2 linked regions of the Astyanax mexicanus genome follow. The protein of the gene in region 2 purifies or fractionates together with the protein of the main gene of each other region. This does not show direct contact. Links are inferred from orthologs where the notes say so. Each region holds a gene or a part of one and is shown on either strand. Other genes may lie near its edges.

Region 1 (3,758 bases), on a different chromosome or scaffold from region 2:
GAATGCTCATAAAACACCAGAACCTTGAGACAATATTAAACCTAAAATAAAACACGTTTCACAATTAATTCTATTGTGTATAAAAGGCACAGGGAATTGTAAAGTCTGATAAGCATAAGTAAACCACATTTAAATCTATACAATATTTAATGATAGAGAATATAAATTTTATATTTATACCTGCAGCATTTCATTTCATTTCATTTCAATAGCGACAGTGTCATGAAAGATATCTTCTAATCACAAGTGGTCACTAAAGATGCATGTTGCTCTCCACTTGTGATCAGATCACTTGTGACAGATATCAGAAAAAGGTTGTCAGTGATAATGTTACATCTTTGTTGCTTCCAAATCCATGATTGTCCCTATACTCCAGCCAAATAACTCACATTGGCAATCAACACTGATCTAATAACCCACCGTGCTCTCTGTCCCTCCCAGCTGCCGGGTACTTGGCACCACCTCCAGCTTGGCATTATTTGGCAGGCTGGCAAACCTCCACTGCAGTGTCAGATCCAGCACATTCCTCTGAAACCTGCGGATAAAAGAGTCACACAGAGTTAGGGGGAGAACACAAAGCACTCTAAGCACAAAGGACAGACACCAGCAGCAGATAACCTCTGCAGCTTCATGACGTGTGACTCACTGACCATCACAAACACAACCATTCAATTCAAACAGGTGTTGGAAGCACCTTTACACATGACTGTGTCCAGAGGCTGGCTTACAATGGCTATACAGGCAGCAGCTGAGGGAGACTGTGTTGACCTGGCATTGATTTAACCCTCTTTATATATCAAATACTAGACACACTGTACTAAACTTTTTATGCGGCTGTTTGTTCAGTGTATTCACATGTAATACAGTCATATACATATAGCCACAAACAAAAAATTATAACATCTCTAATTCTTTAAATTGTGGTCCAGCTTACACTGTTGTATTTAAGGCCATTAGAGCCAAGTTGGAACACATCAACCATGAATCAAGAGCAAGACTAGTAGCTGAGTCCAAGTAAAGACCAAGACTGTGTATCACTCAAGTCAGATTAAAACTAACAACAGGAAACATTTAATTTAAGACCACAAATTTGTGATAAACAAATCCAGGTTAAGACTAGGATTTTGCAATTTTCAATAGTCATGTGGGACTATTCAATAGATCAAAAAAAAAAAGAGATAACGCAATATTGAGTTTTATTCACAACAAAGTTTTTGTAATGAACAAGTCTAAGTATAAACAGAGAGTATGTTTAGAGTCAAAAGAATCCAAGAATCTGTAGTGTATAACACTGTGCCAATATCTAGACTGAGACTCAGCAAGTCTTTGACACTTGGACAGAACAAATATGACATTGTAGTAGTTAATACTGTGTCAAAGCTAAGACTGAGACAGAGCTAAGATCAAGACATTAAAGCAGTCAAGACCAAGTTAAGACCAAGAATGTGACATACCGAGTCCAAGTCATGACCACGATTGGAGCACACTGAGTTGGAGTCAAGACCAAGACTTTTGTAGCAGTCAAGAAGACCATGTTAGGGTCCAAGACAAATACCAAGAGCAGCTTTATCCAAGTCAAGACAGATACTCTGTTTATGCGCTGTAGAACTGGAGTTAAAGACAGAGTCTTGAAGCAGGCAAAGTTAAATCAAGACCACATTGAGTAAATCAATCTCTCCCAAGGAACTCTCTCATGAGACTTTGGTACCATTTTTGGTATTATAAAAGCATAGCAACAAAGTACAACTACTTCACTACTGTACTTGAAAGTGCTAGAATGCTATATCTGTACTACTCTACTTGGATACTATTGTACTCCTACTTGCACTCTCCTACTTTACTACATATTTTTAATGTTCTAGTTTATTACTTTTACTTTGACTGCCCTGTTCCTTGTTACAATTATAAAAATGTTAGGAATATTCCGTACAATAACTACAGTAACCCCAGTTTACTAAGCTAGCTAACCTAGAAGACTCCAACTGAAACATTTTTCTGATTATTGGATTATACCATATTGAACCTTCTTTTTATGTATTTTTTATGTTTATATATAATATAATAATGTATATATAACATAATATTATATGCCCATTACAATGACACATACAAGTGGGTCATAAATAAAAATATGTATATGTGCAAGAATAAGTAAAGAAGTATATTTGGCTGGTTTTATTTTTATGATATGCTTGTTGGAAACTTACTAAAACAGTGTATTTTCATTTGCTGCCTTTGGGCAGTGTTAATCAGGTTACAGCTGGGTTACAACACTCATGTTCTTCTTTGCTTTAAAACATGAACTGATTGAAATTACCAGGTTGTTTTCAAAAGTCAAAACAGAAATTGATATCGGTTATATCCACAGGGACTCCTAAAAATATTTTAACTCATGCCATAGAGGGAAAATGTAACTAAATAGCTAAGTAGCTCACCTAAGCATTTATTAGCATTTATGTAGCATTTTAAAGCACTCACTTGAGTCCATGGTCGTCTGGATTGAATCCCTGTTTCTTACAGACTTCCTCCAGGACCTGCAGAGGTAAAATAAACAAGAATTAATCAGTTTTCCCTCTTTTCCATCTGTTTCAGAGACAGTTCTCTCTCTCAGCGCTCAGCTAACGTTAGGTTAGCTAGCAGCTAAGCTAGGCTAGGCTAACTGAGCAGCCATTGTTCAGATAGACAGCCATAAACAGCGCCCTTCTCTCTGAACACAGGCCAGCACCGCGGTGTTTATAAACCGAGCCTTTCTCTGAGCTCTTTACCTGCAGTAAAGGTGTGTTTGGGGAGACTTTAACGGTCTGTCTCCGTCCGTTCGGGCTCAGAACTGACACTGCAGTACTGCTGGCTGCCATTGCAGAGTGACGTCACCGTGTTTGTTTGAAGCAACTTTATGTGAAGCAGAGCTGAGACACCCTCATCCTTCAAACACAGCAGCTCTAAAATCTCACTTAATCACAAATATACTGTAAATTAATTATACAGCAGCTCTGAGAACTCACTTAATCACAAATATACTGTATATTAATTATACAGCAGCTCTAAAATCTCACTTAATCACAAATATACTGTATATTAATTATACAGCAGCTCTGAGAACTCACTTAATCACACATACTGTATATTAATTACACAGCAGCTCTAAAATCTCACTTAATCACAAATATACTGTATATTAATTATACAGCAGCTCTGAGAACTCACTTAATCACACATACAACGTATATTAATTACACAGCAGCTCTGAGAACTCACTTAATCACACATACAACGTATATTAATTACACAGCAGCTCTGAGAACTCACTTAATCACATATATACTGTATATTAATTATACAGCAGCTCTGAAAACTCACCTAATCACACATATACTGTATATCAATGATACAAAAATTCTGAGAACTCACTTAATTACAAATATAATGTATATTAATTACACAGCAGCTCTGAGAACTCATTTAATCACACATATACTGTATATTAATTATACAGCAGCTCTGATAATCACTTAATCACAGATATACTGTATATTAATTATACCGCAGCTCTGAGAACTCAAATAATCACACATATACTGTATATTAACTATACAGCAGCTCTGAGGACTCACTTAATTACAAATATACTGTATATTAACTACATAGCAGCTCTGAGAATCACTTAATCACAAATATACTGTATATTAAATACACAGCAGCTCTGAAAACTTACCTAATCAAAAATTGACTGTATATAAATTATACAGATAAATATAACA
Region 2 (3,758 bases):
GGTTATTTAGAGGCTGTAGCTATATTAGAACATTTAAAAGGCAAAATAGTTATCTAGATAAATAATATATAAGTTATGTATTATACAGTAATAGTTAACTGTAACTGATGTCAACACAGGTTAGCTATGCTAAGCTAATTCTAGGTTAGTCATGTCAGGTGTAGGCTATCTAACAAATGGACTAAACTAGCTTAGCTAAGCTAGATGGCTAAAACAGGCATACTGTAACTGAAAATTCAGAGAGATTTTGTAGTTAGATAGATGTATGCCTGTATTTAAAGAAGTTTTAATTCACCCTAAATAAGCTAAATTAATGCAGTAAATAAAAAGTACTGTAGTTTAGATATGGCACTCTCTCACGGTCAGCCTTTAATAAGAGCTTTTTGTGAAGAATTTACATTGTTTTATTAGATGATTATTAAGCTTTACAAATAGATAAATATCTTTATTAATCAGTTTTATTACCTGCACATGTAATTGTAACTAGTGTTGTGTCAGACTTATGCTAGCTAACAAATGGACTAAACTGGCATAGCTAAAAGAGCTAAAACTAAAACTGGCTTAGCTAAAACAGACAGCCTGTAAGTGAATATTCAGAGAGATGTAGTTACTACAAGTATGTCTGTATCTAAAGAAATTCTGAATTAATGCAGTAAATAAACAGTACTGCAGTTCAGATCTAACTCTCTCTGAGTGTCAGCCTTAATAAGTGTTTTTTTGCAAATAATATATATTGTTGAAATGGCTTTATTAGATGATTTTAAGCTTTATAAATGGCTAAATAGATAACTAAATTTATTATACAGTAACAGAAGCTAGTTAACTAAAAACTGTAAACGCTGTGTCAGAGTTATACTAGCCAATAAATTGACTAGTTAACTAGCTGAAGCAGACTGTCTGTAAAAACACATTCAGGCATATGTGCAGATGACAGATTATATTAAATATACACTGTGGTGATTTGTATCTAAAATAGCTAAATATGCTGAATAACTGCAGTAAATAAACAGTACTTTAGTTCAGATCTGACTCTCTCTGTGTCAGCCTTTTATAGGAGCTTTTGTGATTAATTTACATGGTTGAAAGGATTATATTAGACGATTATTACGCTTTATAAATAGGTAAATAGATAAAAAGCCTTATTAATCAGTAACAGTAGCTAGTAGTAACAGTAACAGTAGTAATCAGTAACAGTAGCTAGTTAGTTGTAAGTGGTGTTGTGTCAGAGTTATGTTAGCTAACAAATGGACAAAACTAGCTTAGCTAGCTTAAACAGACAACCTGTAAATAAATATTCAGATATATATTGTAGCTAGATAACAGGTTATATTAGATATATATTGTGGGGTGCTTTTTATTTAAATGAGTTAAATACACTGAGATAATGCAGTAAATCATCAGTACTGTAGTTAGTTTAGTTTCTGTAGCTACAGTAGATCTGGAAGTTTCTCTTTGTCAGGCGGAATTTTCCACAACCTGCCAACTTTATTCAGCACACCACGACCCATCACCTTTAATCTATCACATTTATATGATTATCTCGTGTTAAATATGTGTGTGATTCCCTCAGTTATTTACTTAGCTAGCCACAGCTTCACTCACTGTTTAGCTAACGTTAGCTAGCGTTAGTTACTCAGTTTACCCCTCTCTGAGTCTAGGTGTTATGTCGAATTGTGCTACCCATCAGTATGTGCGTGCTACCGGCACTGCGCATGCGCTGATCCACGTTATTTTTGTTTAAAGGTTTTACTGTGTTTTTAATAATAAATCTTTCGTTCTTTCGTTTATAAAGTCACAGTAATAATAAACAATTAATAAAAAAACACAAAAATGTAAGATTTTTGAGAAGATATAAGAAACGCAAGTGACCTGATTATACCAAAATCTCTTACATTAGATCCTAAGTTGTTCTTATTAGGTATATATAGGAAAAATCATAATTACTTTAAGATTGAGATGACTTTTTTGACCTTATGTTTGCAAATGCAAAAAAAATTGCACTGTATTGGACAAAAACTATTAGACGAAATGTTTAATAACATTTAATAACTAAGATGTATGCGTGTATGTATGTATGTATATATGCATGTATATGAATATATCTATATATGGGAGGGGGGGTCTGTGTGTTAGATTGTTGGTTTTATTGATCTTTCTCATATTTTACTTTATCTGTCAGATATTGTTATATATTAAAACTAAACAAAAAGACTATTAAAAACAGTTTCTATACATATATTTAAGTTTTTTACCCAGGCTAATCAGACTTTAAGTTAGTTGAACTGTCCTCTAACTTAAGTTTTAAATGTAGCTAACTAAATATGTTAATAACTAAATGTACATTCATTAGGGTAGCACGATTTGGTAGGGCGGCACGATTTGGCGCAGCACCGGCTCGCTTCCAGGCCCGCAGTGTTAGCCTGTTAGCACGGAGCTACAGATTCTGCTGCCTCATCACTGCGCGCTGAGCTCAGATAACTCCGCGGTTCTGCTGTTTATCTGATCAGTAGTTATACAAGATTAAACCCTGAATAAAGGACTACTCACGATGTTCTCCGCCATGTTTATCACCGGGCCCGTGACCCCCGGTTCCTCTCTCAGAGCCGCGGAAGTTTGGGAGAGCAGGGTCGGTGAGTTCTCCGCTACAGCACCGCTACAGCACCGGGCCGCCGCTCACTCCGCTCCATAACTCAGCTCAGCCCGGCCGCGCTCCAATACCCGCCCTCGCTCACTCACTAGGGCGCATATGTAGTGTGTCATCCCAGCTCATCCCAATTAAATCACTATCTCAATTCATCAGGTTTAGATCAGGGGATTAATGTGGAGGAATAACACGTTTTTACTCTTTACTACAGAATTATATATGTGTCTCGCATTCGTTTTTATATATTTATTATTAATCTACAATGTAGAAAATACATGAAATAATATATATATTTTTTATATTTTTCTAATGTAAACTGGTATATCCTCTTGAGACCTAGCGTCCACATATGAGGATATTCCATTCCTGCTTCTCTGCACCATTATTCTTATTTTTTTTTTCAAACGTTGACCCTTTAGCCTTATATGGAGACACTGCCAGTACTATTTAGGGGTCACATGACAACATTATACTTAACTGATTAAAAACAAGATGGCGAGAATCCCAGGCAAAAGTTTCTACAGCCAGGTAAAAAATATCATAGATTTTTAAGTTTGAAACTAGGTTATACTAGGTTAATTGGGTCCTTCTGGGTCCTTTTGCAAAAAATGCTTCCTATACAAAGAGTAAGTTACGTTTCTATATTTTTTATACATGTTAAGTACTCCTGAATAGATAGAAGAAATTAAAAATGCACACCAAGCTAAAGTCCGGGTGTCAGGAGGATATATATCTCCAGTTTACATTAAATCATATCTCCTCTGACCTTATTTTAGCTGCACTAGATGTATATATTTTTTCCTTTATTATATTTGTAGTATTTTTTATTTTTTCTGTAACATTTTGTATATACAGTTTATTATTATTTGTTTACATATATATTCCTGACCTGTGTCTATGTCCTTTCCTCTGTGCTGCTGTAACATTGCAAATTTCCCCATTGTGGGATTAATAAAGGATTATCTTATCTCATCTTATTATCTTATCTTATCTTACCTATATATATATAATTAGAATACATTGTGTGTGCGCGTCTGCTTTGTATTTTAATTCTCCAATAAAATGCTTGTTTGTGTTTAAGTTGGGTAAGCATTTATGTCTAGTTGAAATAAAA

What was found.
Region 1: the proteins of nploc4 (region 2) and aspscr1 purify together in Homo sapiens (affinity purification with mass spectrometry; 3 studies listed by BioGRID and IntAct, with this or other methods). This does not show direct contact. The link is inferred for Astyanax mexicanus from reciprocal best matches to the Homo sapiens genes NPLOC4 and ASPSCR1.

Annotation. Positions count from the first base shown.
Region 1 is NC_064423.1:30,503,443-30,507,200, reverse strand, and holds the start of aspscr1 (tether containing UBX domain for GLUT4), read right to left. Parts: upstream 2,896-3,758; 5' UTR 2,856-2,895; coding exon 2,766-2,855; intron 2,535-2,765; coding exon 2,479-2,534; intron 536-2,478; coding exon 421-535; intron 1-420. UniProt on the Homo sapiens protein: Tethering protein that sequesters GLUT4-containing vesicles in the cytoplasm in the absence of insulin. Modulates the amount of GLUT4 that is available at the cell surface. Enhances VCP methylation catalyzed by VCPKMT.
Region 2 is NC_064422.1:46,559,259-46,563,016, reverse strand, and holds the start of nploc4 (nuclear protein localization protein 4 homolog), read right to left. Parts: upstream 2,690-3,758; 5' UTR 2,563-2,689; coding exon 2,548-2,562; intron 1-2,547. UniProt on the Homo sapiens protein: The ternary complex containing UFD1, VCP and NPLOC4 binds ubiquitinated proteins and is necessary for the export of misfolded proteins from the ER to the cytoplasm, where they are degraded by the proteasome.